2 linked regions of the Caenorhabditis elegans genome follow. The protein of the gene in region 1 purifies or fractionates together with the protein of each later gene. This does not show direct contact. Each region holds a gene or a part of one and is shown in the gene's direction. Other genes may lie near its edges. The genes, in order: daf-25 and Y116A8C.27.

Region 1 (9,194 bases):
GATCCGGAACGCCCACATCACGGACCCAAAGACGAGAAGAAGAAGCTGACGAAGAATCTGAGGAACGAAAGACGCGGAGCCATCAAGGAGCTCAGAAAGGATACGGCATTCTTGGCCAGGAAGCAATTGTCGAGTGTCAAGACGAAGGATCGTGCGAGAATTGCGGCCACGAAACGTGTCATGGGCGGTCTTATGCAGCAGCAGGGTGAATGGAATAAGGAGAAGCGTACGGCGGATGTTGAGAAGAAGAAGGACAAGAAATAATTTAAATTTTCCTATTTTTTGTTTGTTGAAAATGACTTTATTTGGCAAAAAAAACCCCTAAATTTCAGTTTTTCTCGATTTGTTGAAAAATAGTCAAAAAACTGATTTCTATGTTATTTTTGGTCAAAATTTGCCTTTTTCAAACATTTTTTTTGCCATTTTTCCTCCATTTTTTGTTATTTTTTTTTTTCGTTTTGTTATGAGATATGTTTCTGTTTTGTTGACATTTTTTATTATTGAAAATTAAACGAGTTTTCTGAATTTTTTTGTTCAATTTTTTTGAAATTTTCCGTTTCACATACGTTTGTCAATATCTCGATTAATTTTTGAAGTTTTCCAATTGACTCGCGCATTTTCTAAAAAGTTTTTAAACTTTACATTGAAAATACCCCTCTAACTCGAATATCTGATTTTATTGGAATTTTGAGTTTTTTTAGGTTAAAAAATTCTTGTGCTAAAATCATCCATTATAGTTCGTAAGTCAGCAAATTTTGGCTCAAACTTAGAGCGATTTCCAATTTATGGAGTTTTTTGTTCAGAATTCTCGAAATTTTCTCATTTCTGGAAATTTTGAGTCTACGAGTCACACAGTTGTTCCGTAATTAGCTTCACTTACATCTCCTCAACTCTGCAAACTCTCAAACTTTCGGGAAAGGGTCTCGCCACGAAATCACGGGTGGGCGGCAATTGCAGTTCGGCAAATTGCCGGTTTGCCGGAAATTTTCAATCCCGGCAAAATTCCGTTTGCCGGAAGTTTTTAAACGGGATCTTTTATAAGACGGAAACACTTAAAACTGCCATTTTTAATTTTTTGCCCGTTTTCTCTAAATATTTTCATAGAATTTACTGACTTTTTAGGATAGATGTTTTCATGGGATGTGCACATGTTGTTCCGGCAAATCGGTAATTGCCGAAAATTTGAAAAACGACAATTTGCCAAAAAAATCGTTTGCCGTTCACCCCTGTATTGTACCATTTTTGGCGAAAATGCGCGTAAATTAATATGCTTGCGTGTGTAATATTTCGTTCATATATTCTAAATATACGCACCTTTTGAAATATTCATAATATATGCATTTACGTACGTTCGAGAATATTTTGGGAATACACATTTATCATCATTCCCACCCGTTGCCATAGTATCCTCATCCCCGCCCCGCCCCGCCCCTTTCTCTCATTTCCTCTTCCAAATCCTTAATGGCTCATCCGGTCATTGGAGAGATATGGCAGATGTGGCGGTTTTGACGAATGTTCTGGAGAACTCGAATTTTATATAACTATTAGACAATTTCGATATTAAAAACATTTATATGTAAAATTTTCAATTTTTTGAATTTGCTCGCCGAATTTTGACTTTCTGACAATTGTGTGTCGATTTACGAGGGTTATGTATATTTACGATATGTTTTTAATCATTATCGAATGCTGATTTCCGTTTTTCTACGAGTTGTCTTCATTTTCGTTGGTTTTTTTTTGTTTTTTTTTTTTGAAAGTGTATTTTTTAAGGTCAAAAAACTAGAAAAATATTCAGTTTTCAGTCAGGAAAACCATTTATTTGGTTTTTTCAATATTAAAAAAATTATTGGGAAAAATGAATGAAACTCGTCGAAAAACGAAAATCATCATTCGATAAAGATTAAATATTTCGTAAATCGACACACATGTCTCCGCCGCGAAAAATCGAAATTTCATAGAGGCATAAAAATTCACAATATTTTAGTTTTTTTATTTTTTATTTTAATCCAAATCCCTATTCATGCTTAGATTTTTAGGTGTTTTTCTGTAAAAAATCAAAAAATTGTATATTACTCATAAATTTTTCCAATTTTCTCAAACCTTGGATCTCGCCACGACATTATTAAAAAATTCCCGTTTTCTGCAGAAATGACGACAACGGAAGAAGCTCCCAAATCGCCGCTTTTCGAGGCAATCGACAAAAATGACACTGAAGCAGCGCTGGCACTGCTGAAAACGAAGGAACAAGCCGCTCAACGGGATCCCAGTGGAATGAGTGTGCTGGCAGCTGCCGCGTATAGGTATGCACCTTTAAAGCGGCGACGGTTACTGTATCCTCGCAGATTGTTTAAAGGTACATACCGTAATCCGTTGAATTTCAGAGGAAATCTTACGTTGGTCGAGAAAGCGATTGAGCTGAAATGTGATGTGAATGATAAAACCGATGGAACTCTGTACACTCCACTCATGTTTGCCGCCTTATCAGGTAGGGCAAAAATTTTTTAAAAAAATTTTTTGCGTCAAATTTGATGCAAATTCTGGTTTTTTACCGTTGAAAAGTAAAAAAAAATTCCGAAAAAATCGATTTTTATGCTAACAACAAACTTTTAAGTGAAAAATCGTGGAAAATTAGACCCAAATCACGTATTTTTGATCTGAAATTCAATTTAGCGAAAAGTCATCGAAATTTTATGGTTTTCGCGGTGAGACCCAATATTCGCAATTTTTTTTTGCACCAAATACAACACATTTGACGCGCAAATTCAAATTTTTGAAACTTTTTTCCGTTTTTACAATATTTTTAGGCTGAACCCCAATATTTGAAAAAAAAAAAACCAATACACTATATTTTACGCGCAAATGTTAAATTTTTATTTAAAATCCTCGTAAAGTTCTATTTTCTTTTTTTGATCGTTTTCAAGCTCAAAAATTCAAATTTCAATTCGAAATATTACCGGAACACAAAATTCTGAAAATGCGTACTGGTCAACATATTTGACGCGCAAAATATCTCGTAGCGAAAACTACAGTAATTCATTAAATGACTACGGTAACGCTTGTGTCGATTTACGGGCTCGTTATTAAAAATCATTAATTTCAAAAAAATCGAGCCCGTAAATCACCACAAGCGCTACCGTAGTCATTTAATGAATTACTGTAGTTTTCGCTACGAGATATTTTGCGCGTCAAATATGCTCAATACACATTCTCAGAATTTTGCGTTAACGTATTACTACTTTCTTAGTTTTTCCAAAAAAAAAATTCGAATACACCATATTTGACGCGCAAACTTTTTTTTTCAAAGCAAAATTGTCAAACGTTTGCAGGAAAACAGGACGTATGCCGCCTGCTAATGGACTCCGGAGCCCGTATGTATTTGGTGAATGGAATCGGAAAAACCGCCTCTGAACTGGCGGCATTTGTGGGTCATCACGAGTGTGTGGCAATTATCAATAATCATATAACAATTGATGTGATCGAAGATCTTTTGCGGCCAAAAGTGAATGGAAAATATGAAGGAGCTGAGGAATATCCGGATGAGCTGGCTGTATTTATTCATTCATTGTGTGGATCACATGAGATTCATCCTGTTAAGATTATTTTTCGATTCAGTAAATATCCCGATTCGTTGAAGTATAAGAAAAAGGTACATAGCTGTGTAGTTTGGAAAAAAAACGAAAAATCTGAAAATTTGAGAAATTTCCTTAAGCTTTTTCAAGATGCGCATTTTTGTTCATTCTTATTTTCAAAAAAATCCAAAAAGTTTTTTAAAAAATTTAATAAAGCATTCTTTTTAATTTCAAAACAAAAAAGTTATACCAAATAAAAACTTTTAGTAATCAAAATTTTTCACTTTTTCTCGGTTTTTCTCATCGTTTTTCAAATTTGAGATCTCTTCCTGAATTTTGCCTAAAAATTGATTTTTTCAAAATATTTTCAGAAATGATTCTTTCTGTGAAAAAATGTTTGAAAATGCGAAAATATTCGAAACTAAAAAAACTTTTATTAAAATAAATTTTTGAAATTTTTCAGAATTTAAAAATTGAATCGAATTAGGTATCAGTAGTTTTCAGATCGATTTTTTCGAATTTCTGAATTTGTTAAAAACTAGAAATTAAAAAAAAAACTTTTGATGTTAAATGTTTTTCGAGATTAAAATAAACCGAAAACCCAAAAAAAATGTAAAAATTGTGTTCTTTTTGTTATAATAAACCAGAATTTTCTCGAAATTTTCAGAAGGTTCTAGAATATTTCAGAATTTTCTCGAAATTTCCAAAAGGTTCTAGAACATTTCAGAATTTTCTCGAAATTTTCAGAAGGTTCTAGAACATTCCAGAATTTTCTCGAAATTTTCAGAAGGTTCTAGAATAGTTCAGAATTTTCTCGAAATTTCCAAAAGGTTCTAGAACATTACATAATTTTCTCGAAATTTCCAGAAGGTTCTAGAACATTCCAGAATTTTCTCGAAATTTTCAGAAGGTTCTAGAATATTTCAGAATTTTCTCGAAATTTCCAAAAGGTTCTAGAACATTTCAGAATTTTCTCGAAATTTTCAGAAGGTTCTAGAATATTTCAGAATTTTCTCGAAATTTCCAAAAGGTTCTAGAACATTACAGAATTTTCTCGAAATTTCCAAAAGGTTCTAGAACATTACAGAATTTTCTCGAAATTTTCAGAAGGTTCTAGAATATTTCAGAATTTTCTCGAAATTTCCAAAAGGTTCTAGAACAATCCAGAATAATGTTTTCAAAAAATTCAAATTTGAATTCCCGCCAAAATGTTTTCAAAAAATTAAAATTCGAATTTCCCGCCAAAATATGTACAGTACTCCTACAGTACCTCTACAGTACTACTACAGTACCCCGACCATATCCCACTACTAACCCCAAACCTATATCTCTTCAAAAGACTAAAACACAATTTTTCCTAAACTACAGTAATCCTACCGTACTCCTACAGTACTACTACAGTACCCCCACCATATCCCACTACTAACCCCAAACCTATATCTCTTCAAAAGACTAAAACACAATTTTTCCTAAACTACAGTAATCCTACCGTACTCCTACAGTACTCCTACAGTACTACTACAGTACCCCGACCATATCCCACTACTAAGCCCAAACTAATATCCCTCCATCAGCCGAAAACGCCTTGCCTTTGTAAACTATGACGTCACTACTTAACAAACGGACACTATTTTTTTATATTTTTTTTTCAAAGCAAAAACCACCCATTTTCCAGATCCTCTACGTCATCGATCGTGTCTTCGAGAAACAGCTTCGATGTAAGGAAAGCAATGAAATAATGTCGCTCAAGCTTTGGCTAATTCTATTTTCAATGCGTGAAACCTCGAAATTCGTGGAGTCGAACAAGGAAAAGTCGCCAGAAGAAGCGTCTCTACAGTACGCAAAACTGATTTCCACGTGGCAAGAGGGCGATGAAACTAGGCGAGCACTTGACGTGATGCTGAGAAATGCGGTTGCTTCGTTCCCGTATAAACATTCATTACTTCATGATACTCTACAAAAAGCACTGCAAAAAAGTCAAATTGGTGAACGACCAAGTGCCTATGAATACATTGTTCAGGCACTTTTCGGACAACGAATCGCTGCGGTCTGCCAGTTTTGCTCGGTTTGCGGACATCCTGGAGCCAAGAAACGGTGCACACAGTGCAAAGTATGGAGTTTTTAGGGTTAAAAATAATTATTTAATAATTTAATAAAGCTCGAATTTGGGAAATAATCAATTCCAAATTTTAAAAATATGGAAAAAATTTTATTCCGTTACATTTTATGAATTTTCCCACAAACTCGGCATTTGGCTCTAGCTTCTTGCCCAAGTTTAGCCCAAAAAATATTAACTTGAAGCTGTCTAAACTTGGGCAAAAGTTAGACAAAACTTTGGCAAAACTTGGATTCAAGCTTTACCAAGGTCTAACCCAAGTTTCACCCAACTCTTGCCAAACTTTGGCCCAAACTTTTCTTATTTCGTTTCAAATTTGGGCCAAAGTTTGGCAAGAGTTGGGTGAAACTTGGGTTAGACTTTGGTAAAGCTTGAATCCAAGTTTTGCCAAAGTCTTGCCTAACTTTTGCCCAAGTTTAGACAGCTTCTGATCCAAGTTAACATTTTTTGGGCTAAACTTGGGCAAGAAGCAAGAGCCAAATGCCGAGAAACTCGAATAAAAATTGAAAGTTTTCAAAATTTCAGTTCGTTTTTAATTTACAAAATTTGGCAGCTCTAACAATTCTTTAAAGATTCTTTAAATTAAAAAAAAGAATTATTAAAACTTTTTAAAAAAATTCATTCTGTAGAAAATTCCCGTAAAATACTCTTTGAAAATCCGGGAAAAAACTTCAAAAAACAAAAATAAATTCTAGACATTCTGTAAATATCGAAAAAAGAACATTTTGTCTGTAAATGTATTAGTCAAAATTAATTTCTGATACTTTTTCCAATTTTTCAAAATTTTAAGTGTCGAGGTTCAATTTTTTTGAATTTCCTGTTTTTCCTTTATTAAAAAAAGTTTTCTATAATATGCTGTATTTGAAAATTAAAAACTATATCTGAAAATATCGAGGCACAACGTTTTCAAGATCTGGTGAAATTCCGGATCTACGTTTTCCGGATCTACCATTTCCGGATCTACGTTTTCCGGATCTGGCACCGTGCCAACGCACAAAACGCTTTTTTGTTCACTCGACGCACGTTGTTTTTTGAAAATTTCTTCTAGAAGAAACGCTTAACAACACGCGACGCGTAACAACGGAGCATCGTTATCACGTTTTTCTCCGAGAAAAATAGCGTTTTAAGAGTTGGCACGGTGCCAGATCCGGAAATGGTAGATCCGGAAAACGGAGATCCGGAATTCCGCCAGATCTTGAAAATGTGGTGCCTCAAAATATCGATTAAAGAATTTTTTCTGAAAAATATCCAATTTTTCAACAACAGAATAGCTAAAAAGTGAAAAAAAACTCAATTCTCATTATAAATTGCAAACAATTTCCAAATTTTGATAAAATGGAAAAGAGTTTAAAAATTTCAGGCAACACATTTTTTAACTCTAGTAAACGTTTTTTAAATTCCAACAATTTTTACAGCTCGCCTACTGTTCCCAAGAATGCCAAAAATTCGACTGGCCAATTCACAAAAAAGTGTGCTCATTTCTGAAAACGCGACAAGAAGTGTCGCCCACCGACGAGACCGCCATGTCGCTGGACGATATTCAGGCTCAAATCGCCAAAATCGACGTGTAGAAGTGCCGATATTTCGATCTCAATATACTTTTTTTCTGGAATTTATTTATTTTTAATGTATATTTCGGCTTCATCTCATTGCACGAACTTTTAATTTCATTTTCATAAATTCATTTTTGAAGTCATTCCTTGAACAAAAATTCACTAAAACATGCATTAAGAAATATGGAATCCAAAAATTAATCTAAAAACCTTTTCAAAAAACCACTTCGTCAAAAACTGATGATGGAAACTCGTTGAAAAACGGAAAGAGTATCCAATAAAGATTAAAAATTTCGACATTTCGTAAATCGACACAAATCTCGTAAATCGACAAAAATGAAAAAATCAGGAACCCAAGAAATTCAATATTCTCATTTGTAAAGACAACTGGTAAAACATTTTCAAATCAAAAAATTATTTTTTTTGCCCTCAAAATTGATCTCCGAATACTATAAAAAAGAAAACTATAAAAAGTGGCGAAAATTCGAAATTTTTTAACCCCTCTAAAATGGTTCATTTTAGTTGTCTAATGATACAACAAAGTAGACATAGTTCTACAATATCTGATAAATACTTGAAAAGTCTAAAAACAAAAGTTTTTTCGTTTTTTTAACGGATTTTTAAAATCCAGAAGAACGAAAAAAAATTTTTTTAAGAGAATAGAGTAAACTAATCATGTTCGAGCAAAAAAATCCGACTTAGAATATGAACGGACCCAAGTGTATCATAATTATTTTAATTTCTGTGTATCAGAATTATTTTAGTTTCCTTAGTGTGATTCCCAAACTGCTTAAATTCTAGGAAATATTTCTTTACTGGAACACTCTTAGCCACTGTACGCTGCCGAACGAATAATAAGAGAATACAGAACACCAATTATGCCCGAGAAAAAGATCCTACTCAGAATATAAACATAGTCAAATTTATCGGATGTATAAAGATTCCCGAAGACACTTTCCAATTACCCAAATTGTTCATATTCTAAATCAAATTCTCTTACTAGAACGCTCTTGGCCAATGTACGCAGCCGAACGTATCATAAGTGAATACAGAACACCAATTATGCCCGAGAAAAAGATCCTACTCAGAATATAAACATAGTCAAATTTATCGGATGTATAAAGATTCCCGAAGACACTTTCCAATTACCCAAATTGTTCATATTCTAAATGAAATTCTTTTACTAGAACACTCTTGGCCAATGTACGCAGCCGAACGTATCATAAGTGAATACAGAACACCAATTATGCCCGAGAAAAAGATCCTACTCAGAATATAAACATAGTTAAATTTATTGGATGTATAAAGATTCCCGAAGACACTTTCCAATTACCCAAATTGTTCATATTCTAAATGAAATTCTCTTACTAGAACACTCTTGGCCAATGTACGCAGCCGAACGTATCATAAGTGAATACAGAACACCAATTATGCCCGAGAAAAAGATCCTACTCAGAATATAAACATAGTCGAATTTATCGGATGTATAAAGATTCCCGAAGACACTTTCCAATTACCCAAATTGTTCATATTCTAAATGAAATTCTCTTACTAGAACACTCTTGGCCAATGTACGCAGCCGAACGTATCATAAGTGAATACAGAACACCAATTATGCCCGAGAAAAAGATCCTACTCAGAATATAAACATAGTTAAATTTATTGGATGTATAAAGATTCCCGAAGACACTTTCCAATTACCCAAATTGTTCATATTCTAAATGAAATTCTCTTACTAGAACACTCTTGGCCAATGTACGCAGCCGAACGTATCATAAGTGAATACAGAACACCAATTATGCCCGAGAAAAAGATCCTACTCAGAATATAAACATAGTCGAATTTATCGGATGTATAAAGATTCCCGAAGACACTTTCCAATTACCCAAATTGTTCATATTCTAAATGAAATTCTCTTACTAGAACACTCTTGGCCAATGTACGCAGCCGAACGTA
Region 2 (9,710 bases), on another chromosome or scaffold:
CATTTTAGAATCACATCGAGTCAAGTTGGAGACATGTTCGTCGTGAGAAACTCTGGAAATATGATTCCCCATGCGAATAATTATGGTAAGATATTGAGGAGAGGAGACACCACGGGAAAAGAGAATCGCGAGAAAGAGAACTGGAAGCCACGCCCATTTTTGCCCCCCGAGACACCACGGAGAGAAGATCTCGTCGAGAAAGTGATCTACTGTGCCAAAAGTTTCTCATATATTCAAATAAAAGAGGCTAAATTCTGGCAATTTTCCAATTCGCCAGAAATTTTCAATTCTGGCAATTTGGCGATTTTCCGAAAATGTTCAATTCCGGCAGTTTACCGCTTTGCCGAAAATATGCAGATTTGCCAGAAATTTTCGAATCCGGTAATCTGCCGATTTGCCGGAAAATTTAAATTCCTGAAAATTGCCGAGTTTCCGGCAATTTTCCGGTTTGCCGGAAATGTTTAAATCCGGAAGTTTGCTGATTTGCCAGAAATTCTCGATTCCTGCCATTTGCCGGAAAAATCGTTTGCTCCTTCTAGCAGTTATCCTTTCCCCCGTGGTGCCTCCACCACCTAAACTAACTTCCAGGTCCCTCTGGCTATGAGGTCTCTGTAACAACTGAACCAGCGGCACTCGAGTTGGCAGTAAAACGTGGAAAAATCAATCATGTAATTGTGTGTGGACATTCGGATTGTAAAGCAATCAATACTTTATATAATCTTCATAAATGTCCAAAATCATTTGATCCAGAATCACCAATGGATCATTGGCTCCGGCGGCATGGATTTAATTCGATTAGGAAATTGGAAAAACGACTGGCCGACAAGAATGCGGGCCCGATTGAGTTTGTCAGTGATAATCCGTTGTTCTCGTGAGTCTCCTTTGAATTTTGCAAGTGCGGCACGGAAAAAGGGGCGCGGAGCTCAATGCGGCACAGTTTTTTTTTCTGCTTTTTTGTATTTTTCTCAATAAATTTTTTTTTTAGATAAAAAACTATAAAAATCGTCAAAAAACCGTGCGGCATTATTACACTCCGCTCTTTTTTCTGTGCGGCACATGAAAAATTCAAAATTTTCGAAAAAACAGAGATCACGCCCATTTTTCCGTGCCACACTTCCAAAATGCGTAATTTCGGAGCTTCGTTGTCTGTCGTTTGAAGAACAAATTGTTTTTTCGCACCAAAAATTGCGAAAATTTTGAATTTTGCAAGTGCGGCACAAAAAAAGGGGCGGGGCTCAATACGGCACAGTTTTTTTTCTGCTTTTTTGTATTTTTCTCATTAAATTTTTTTTAGATAAAAAAACTATAAATATCAACAAAAAACCGTGCGCGGCATTATTACACTCCGCCCCTTTTTCTGTGCGGCACTTGCAAAATTCACGGATTGATGGACAATATAATCTCTAAATTTCAGATTCTCGGCAGTAATTGACCCGGAAGACAAGCTGAATGTCGAGGATAAGCTCTCACAAATTAATACACTTCAACAATTGGAAAATGTGGCCAGTCATGGATTTTTGAAGGTTAATACCCGAAAAATGTTGCGTCAAATGCTGGAAAATTGAAGAAAAATGCGGAAAAATAGAGAAAAAAATTATTAATTTTGTCGAAAACACAACAAAAAACAGTTTTTTTTTGTTATTTCCAAAAAAACTTGGTTTTTTTTTTCAAAAATTTTTTTAGAAGAAATTATGTTTATTCTCATCAATTTAAAAAAAAACTAGATTTTAAAAATCATATTTCTTTTCTGAACATTTTTTAAAAATATTTTTTTAAATATCGAAAGATTTCGTTTTTTAATTAATTTTTTTTTTTGATTTTTCGAATTTCCCAGAAAAAAAAAACCGAAAAACGACACCCTTCGGCTGGGAAAATCGTGTTCCTAGAATAGATTTTGAAAATTCTTTAAAAAATTTAATTTCCGTAACAGGAAATTATGATAAAAAACGGTTAGATTTCATTAGATTTCAAAATTTCAGAGAAAACCTTTTTTTTTAATTTCTGAAATAGGAAATTATGCCCCTCAAATAGATTTTTTTTATTCAAAATTCAAAACATATTCAAAACACATTTTTTCAGGAATTCCTCGTGTCTCAAACTGTCGATCTTCATGCGATGTGGTTCGATATTTACACTGGTATACATACATTTTTCTATTTTCACTGTAACTTTTTATTCACGGGGGACGAGGGAAAGTGGTTTCTAGGCCATGGCCGAGGGGCCGACAAGTTTCAGCGGCCATTATCTTGCTTTGTTTTCCGCCTGTTTTCTTTCGTTTTTCATCGATTTTTTTCGTTTTTTCTTAATAAAACTGATAAATAAATATTTTTTGCAGATGCTAAAACAATTTCCAAGTAAAAAATTATGTATTCAGTGGGCAAGCAGCGGTGAAAGTGGGCATTGTAATATGATGGATTACGGGAATCCAAAACCTAAACTTTTTCTGAAACATGATACATATGCTGCTTAAATGCTGAGACTACCTGATTTTCATAACGAGACCGCTGAGGGGTAGTTTAGGTTTTGGATTCCCGTAATCCATCATATTACAATGCCCACTTTCACCGCTGCTTGCCCACTGAATACATAATTTTTTACTTGGAAATTGTTTTAGCATCTGCAAAAAATATTTATTTATTAGTTTTGATAAGAAAAAACGGGAAAAAGCTGTGAAAAACAAAAGAAAACAGGCGGAAAACAATACAAGATAAATGGCCGCTGAAACTTGTTGGCCCTTCGGCCATGGCCTAGAAACCACTTTTCCTCGTCCCTCGTGAGGAAAAAGTTGCAGTGTATTTTCTTTAATTTTCACAAAAAAATTTGATTTTCTTTTTAGGAGAAATGCACATGTTCAGCAAACCCAACAAACAATTCGTTCTGGTCGATGAATCGAATGTCGAAGAATTGATTGATGAGGTCGAAAAGCATCAGACTTAATTATTATTATATTGCATTTATTTTAATTTTTAGATTTTTGTGTAAATATTCCCCCATTTTGCCATACTATTTCTTGAGATTGCATTTAATTTCCAATTTGCCCCGCATTTGCCATAGTCATAAAGTCATTTACTTTTTTTTTTTTGAAAAATATAATTTTTTAAAATTATTTTTTTCAACTAACTGTCCATTGTCCAGTGTCCTATCGTTGTAATTTTGAATTTTAAATTTTTTTTTTTAGAAAAATTCAATTTCAGTGCTCAAATGGCGTCCAATCTTGGCCGTGTTGCTCGGCGATTTGCTGCTGCTCAAGCCTCTGCACTGACAAAACCGAAAAAGTTCTATAAGGTAATTTTTCAGGAAATTCCAAAGAGTGTTTTGTAAAAAAAAATGCTTTAAAAATCGGAAAATTATCGTTTTTTTTTTCAAAAACATATTTTTCAGAAATCTTTTTTTTTAACGAAATTGCATTTTTTTTTAACATCAAAAAGTGCCATTTTTGAACGTTTTTCTATGTAACATCGAAAATTATTTAAAAAGTATTCATTTTTTCTTTATTTTTCCTCAAAAATTCAAAAAATATCGAATTTATTTTTTCGATTTTCAATAATAAAAAAATCAGAAATTTCTCTTTTTTAATAAAATATAATTTTTATCACATCAGAACTCTGGGTAAACACAGAAAAACAATTTAAAAAAAAAGAAAAAATGTTTTCCTCTGCAACAAAAAAAATCAAAAATATTCGATTTTGAAATTTTTTCTCTAAAAACCAAAAAATTGAAAATTTTCCATTTTCCATTTTAAAAAATATGAAAATCGAGAAAAATCGTCTTTTTTGGTTTTACTATGAAAATCCAAAAAAATCGGTAATTTTTTTTGCGATTTTTTTTGGAAAACATTGAAAAATGGAAGAAAAAAAATTAAAAAGTAACGATTTTCTATGAAAAACGCCAAAAAATTGAAAAATAAATAGCGATTTTCTAAAAAAAAAAAAAAAAGAAAATCTGAATTTTTTAATGAAAAAATTCAACTTTTACGGGGATAACCGCAAATTTTCACAACTTCCTCCCCAAAAACCCAAACATTTTTTGCAGGAAGTATCAGTAATTAACGAGACGGACGAGAGCACCGGAAATCAAATTCATAAAGTTCTTCTGGATCATCGTGTTCTCAAAACTCAAGGAGGACAAGTGCTAAAAGTACGGGAATGTCTAGTAGCAGCAGCTTTTATTTTAAAAAAAATATATACAAAAAGTGGAAAAAGTTAAACAAATACAGGTTTCTCAGAAATTGGTTCCTTCTCCATAAAATCTGATGAATTTGTGACCAAATTCATTGCACATTGACGGGGATTTGTCTGAAAAAATCTTATTTTTATAAGATTTTTTAGTTAAAAAAAATCCAAATTATATGCCTATATGCAAAAAATCACAAAAAAAACGACGAAAAATTCTGATTTTTCAAATTTTGGTTAACTGCGACCAATCAGCGTCAAAAGTGGACGGAGCGAGCTGCTGATTGGTCGTCGTAGTACCAAAGTTTGAAAAAGCTTGTTTTTGTGGTTTTCCTGAGTTTTCAACTAATTTGCCAAAAATCAAAAATTACCGCAGAACTCGATTTCCGGGATGCGAGTGACATTTGGCTTGATCTTCTCGATGAGAACCTTGAAATAATCTTTGAGTCTGCTTTCCGACACACGAAGATCAGAATTATGAGAAACTGAAAATTTGAGATATGCAATGGCGCTCCGCGGACAACAACGCCCCGCCCCTAAACTTTGGGTCTCGTTAGGATATCAAATTAAATTATTTTTGTGAATTTCTTCAGTTTTCAAGCATTTTTCGATTTTTCGCCCGTTTTTTTTTTGGTAAAAATCGTTCTTAAACATATAATTATAGATTTATTACAAATGTTGTAAAAAATTAGATTTTTTAAACTCTATTTGACTCAATTTTCGTCCGAATTGAAAAAAAATTAGATTTTTCACATTATTTTTCATTTTTCACGAAAAAATCTTCGTTGAAAAGACGACAAAAGCTTGATTCTACCGGTTTTCAAGTGTTTTTCGTTTTTTTTTTAAATATTTTTATGTCGAAATTGCATTGTTTGCATCATTTTGAGATAAAAATAATAAGAAACACTAAAAATGTATCAAAACATTTGAAATTCTAATTAATACCTAACGAGACGTAACGTTTGAGAGCGGATGAAAATTTTCAAAAATACGGTGCCGGGTCTCGACACGATTTTTTTTGAAGAGTACTGTTATTTCAACAATTTTTTGTAAGAAATATATTATTTAGTTAACTTGAAAAAAAACTACAATAATTTTTAAAGGCGCACAAAAAATTGTGCGTGTCGAGACCCTTTTTTAAGTAAAAAGTAACTTACAATAGCGAAAATAAAAACCGGGAGAAGGTGCAATGCAATGTTGTGGAGAGTCATTTCTTCGAATTGTCAAGAAAATTAAGAAAACATTCCTCTGAAGCTTCTAAAAAGAATAAAATAATTTTAAAACAAAAAAAAACGGCCGCGAAAAAAATTATGCAAATACCAGAAAAGTTTGCTTTTACACTTTCACACTGACCGCAGGCAAAAAATTGAAAAATTTCAGGGGAGACGCAGAGAATGAAAGTAATATTTACATAGGTACAATGACACATGATGATGATGGCAAATTGTATTGAGTTTCAAAGAAAAAAGTCAAAAACGGAACAAAAATGAAATTGTTTGGTTTTCCAAAAAATGTTTACTTTTACTTCAAAAATCAGTTAAGAAAAATCCAAAAAAAAATCGAAATTTCCGAAAAATTACACTAAAGGTGGAGTAGCGCCAGTGTGGGGAAATTGCTTTAAAACATGCCTATGACGTCACAATGACCGAATATCATGATAAAAAAATTCAAAAAAATTTTCTAAATTTTATATGATTTTTTGAAAATTGAAAAAATCTCAGTTTTTGCCTAATTCCTATTTGAATTTCCGCCAATTGGATTTGTTCGATGGAGCGCGCTTGCACGTTTTTAAATTTATTTATTTTATTTATTGTTATTTTCCACCGATTTTTAATGTTTTCAGTGTATTTTTGCTTGAATTTAAGAGAAAAAGTCAAGATAAATGCAAATTTCCGATTAAAAAGCACGCTTACAGGCGTAAAAATGAAAAAGTAACGATTTTAAACGATTTCGAGCCTGAATTAATTAATTTCACTGATTTACGCCAGTAAGCGTGCTTTTTAATCGAAAATTTGCATTTATTTTGACTTTTTCTTTAAAATTCGAGCAAAAAAACACCGAAATTATAAAAATCGGTGGAAAATAACAATAAATAAAATAAATAAATTTAAAAACGTGCAAGCGCGCTCCATCGAACAAATCCAATTGGCGGTAATTCAAATAGAAATTAGGCAAAAACTGAGATTTTTTCAATTTTCAAAAAATCATATAAAATTTAGAAAATTTTTTTGAATTTTTTTTATCATGATATTCGGTCATTGTGACGTCATAGGCATGTTTTAAAGCAATTTCCCCACTAGCGCTACTCCACCTTTAAAAAACGAAAAATCGAGATTTTTCAATTTTGACTAACTTCGACCAATCAGCGAATCGCTCGGCCCACTTTTGTGAACCAATCAGCGTCAAAAGTGGGCAGAGCGATTCGCTGATTGGTCGTTATCATTTTGAAAGGAATTAAGCCATTTTTCGTGACTTTCAGTTTTTTTTTTTTGGATTTCCAGAATATTTCGGGATTTTTAACACAAAATGCGCATTTTTCTAAATAATGACGTCATCATAGCTTCAAGTCTCTAATTTTCAGCTCGACTCATATCCACTTGCACTGGCAATTGCTGAAGAATGGTCATCACAAGACGAATTTCTGCAGTTGGGACAAATGAGATTGACTGGTCTTGCATTCACTGCTCAGGATAATCCATTGGAACAGACTGCGTTCGTAATGCGAGAAAAAATTTCCATTTTTCGAAAAAAATTAATTTTTAAATTTTGAAAATTTTTTTAGAAGTTTTTCAACAAAAAAAAATTACTTTTCTCTATTTTCTTTTAAAAAAATTGTTTTCATTTCTGAAAAGTTAATTTTTTTGAAATTTTTCAAAAAAAAAACATTATTCTTTTTAGATTTCATTTAAAAAAAAAAGATTTCTGATTGTGAGAACAAAATGTTGATTTTTTCCAAAAAAAAAAAAAATTTTTCTCGATTTTCTAAAAATTATCTTTAAAAAAATTCTAAAATTCTAAGATTCTTAATAAATCTATATAAATTTTATATATATAAATTTTAAAGAAAAATCTAACATTTTATATTAAAAAAATATGGAAAAATTATTTTTTTAAAGATTTGCTGAAAATCTCGATTTTTGGTTATTTTTCTACAAAAACCCACGTTTTTCCAATTTTTTAAAAAGATAAATTTCTATTTTTTTGAATTTTTGAAAAAATTTTTTAGAAGTTTTTCAAAAAAGAAAACATATTTTTCTCCATTTATTTCTGAAAAAGTATTTTTTTTATTTCAAAAACAAAATATGATGTCTGAAATGAAAATGTTTTTTTTTTTCCATAATAAATTTTTTTTTCGATTTTCTGAAAAAAAATTGTTATTATTGGAAAAAATTCTGAAAAAATTGTTTACAGGACTTTTTCAAAAAACTCGTTTTTTTCCATTTTCTAAAAAATTATTAATTTTTAAACAATTTTTTTTTGTTTTTTGAAAAATCAACTTTTTTGTAGTTAAATTTTTTTTTAAACCAAAAAATCGTCCATTTTCAGCGACACAATTTCTCAAAAAATCCTCGATTACGTGGAAGGTGACACTGTATTGTTCTTCAATACGGAAAGCTCGAAACTTCATCGCTACCAGGAGGAGAAATGGGCTCCGCTTATCAAGAATTTGAATAACGATTTGGGAATTAAAGTTCGCCCCAGCGAGAATATTTTAGGTATTTGTGGTTTTGGAAAATGGGATTTTTTAAATTTTCGAATAAAAAAAATTTAATAAAAATTCCAAAAAATTATAGACTGTGACGTGGCCAGCGAGAACGATAAGGAAAAAATCGACAGATGGATTCGTCAGCACAATTTCCCGGCTCTTGTTGGGCTTCAGTATGCAACTGAATCGGTAAGATGCCTACCTATCTACCTACCTTACCTGCCTTACCTACCTTGATTACCTTACCTATCATTTTAAGAAATGAGATTTCTGAATTAGAAGCTCTAAAAATTTCACATCTTCACACAAAAAAGCAACAAAAAATCCAAAACATTTTACCAAAAAAATTTTTTGCAATTAATTTTTCAAAATCTTCTAAAAAAATCAACTTTCTTTAATCCAAAATCATTTTATTGAAGAAATTTTTATTTAGTTTTTTTAATCGAAAAAAAATTCAATTTGTTTTTACAAAATTGGAAGCAATTTACAAGAATATTAAAATTTTCTAAATTTTAAAAATAAAATAGTTTTTTAAAAAATTTCAGAAATTTTTTTAACACAAAAATTCAATTTTTATGAATTTTACAAAAAAAAATTATTAAAAAATCCAAAAAAAATTTCTAGGTCAAATCATTCGTGATCGCCTACAACGCAATTCGTCATCACATCGACCCAGACACAGCAATCGATGCAGCAACACTGGAACAGAGAACTCAAGCAGAAACATGGGGAAATGTTGAATGGGCTCACGGAATTGAAAGAGAAGAACTCATGACAAGACTGTCGGCTGCTTGTCTTTTTGTCTATTTTAATTCAAATAATTTCACTTCAAAAACTGTTTAATTTCTTTTTTAAAATCTCTAGTTTTTAGCTTGTTTTAGTAATTGTTTGTTTTGTTTTTTTTAAATTCATTTCTTCATTTTAATTAAAATATTATTTTATAAATAACGCATCATACATTGGTATTCATTGTTCGCGAAGAAGTAGAACCTGAAAAAATGTCGTGTTATTATGGAGACGTAGAAAAATGCAAATTTGGAAATCGCGCTCCACCGAACATTGGACCTTTTAGACGGGAAAGCTAGAAAATCAAATGTTTTTCGAGCACTTTTCGTCAAAATTACTTTTTTAACAGATTTTTGGCATAAAAATTTACGGAAAATACGAAAAATTCTCGAAAACGGGGAAAATCAAGCATTTTTCGACTTTTTTGTGATTTTTTGAGTGATTTTTATGCATTTTATGACGAAATTGAATTTTTTTGACAAAAAAAATTATAAAACACCACCAGAGAAATAACGAAAATAAGCCGAAAAATAACTGAAAACGTTTGAATTTATCGTTTTGCCGCCAGTTCCTAACGGTACCCAACTTTTTCGCGTTGGAGCGCGATTGCGCCTCGATTTCAAAAGGCGCGTACAAATTAAGAAGTGCCGTTGAAATATTACCGGAAATTATTGAAAATTCGGTTTTCTCATCATAAAAACTGATTTTTTTTACTTTTGAAAGAAAATTGAATTTTTTTTTGAAAATTCAAACTTACTCTATATAACTTGCTTCTTTGGTGATTTTCAACAAAATATAATAATCATCTCTTAAAATATTCTCTGCAAATTGCCAAATCACATCTTCCCCGACAAACGTCGGTACACGAATCGTAATTTGGCATACAATAAGGGAATATATTTTTCTAATTTTCAGAAGGTTATCCAAATAATTTTCAATTTCTTTCATTTCAAAGATGAAAATATGCTCTATTACCTGGAAAACATGCCCTTTTCGAAATTAAGGTTGGTGCAATCGCGCTCCACGGAATCTCGTTGGGTATTGGC

What was found.
Region 2: the proteins of daf-25 (region 1) and Y116A8C.27 fractionate together in Caenorhabditis elegans (co-fractionation; one large-scale study listed by BioGRID). This does not show direct contact.

Annotation. Positions count from the first base shown.
Region 1 is NC_003279.8:330,465-339,658, forward strand, and holds daf-25 (Dauer abnormal formation protein 25), read left to right. Parts: upstream 1-2,139; 5' UTR 2,140-2,148; coding exon 2,149-2,300; intron 2,301-2,381; coding exon 2,382-2,485; intron 2,486-3,326; coding exon 3,327-3,646; intron 3,647-5,244; coding exon 5,245-5,679; intron 5,680-7,100; coding exon 7,101-7,256; 3' UTR 7,257-7,381; downstream 7,382-9,194. Other genes in the region: nol-14 (Nucleolar protein 14), read left to right, coding at 1-264. UniProt on the Caenorhabditis elegans protein: May be involved in the trafficking and dendritic transport of signaling proteins, such as the receptor-type guanylate cyclases gcy-12 and daf-11, to the cilia.
Region 2 is NC_003282.8:17,089,753-17,099,462, reverse strand, and holds Y116A8C.27 (ATP synthase mitochondrial F1 complex assembly factor 2), read left to right. Parts: upstream 1-3,194; 5' UTR 3,195-3,201; coding exon 3,202-3,285; intron 3,286-4,032; coding exon 4,033-4,137; intron 4,138-4,151; exon of another isoform or gene 4,152-4,202; coding exon of another isoform or gene 4,203-4,295; intron 4,296-4,543; coding exon of another isoform or gene 4,544-4,657; intron 4,658-5,329; coding exon of another isoform or gene 5,330-5,383; exon of another isoform or gene 5,384-5,434; intron 5,435-6,535; exon of another isoform or gene 6,536-6,602; intron 6,603-6,753; coding exon 6,754-6,884; intron 6,885-7,718; coding exon 7,719-7,888; intron 7,889-7,966; coding exon 7,967-8,067; intron 8,068-8,502; coding exon 8,503-8,721; 3' UTR 8,722-8,816; downstream 8,817-9,710. Other genes in the region: bca-2 (Carbonic anhydrase), read left to right, coding at 9-220, 589-871, 1,415-1,523, 2,080-2,137, 2,837-2,937; Y116A8C.29 (uncharacterized protein), read right to left, coding at 4,203-4,295, 4,544-4,657, 5,330-5,383; Y116A8C.43 (Lipoprotein), read right to left, coding at 8,817-8,868, 9,422-9,639.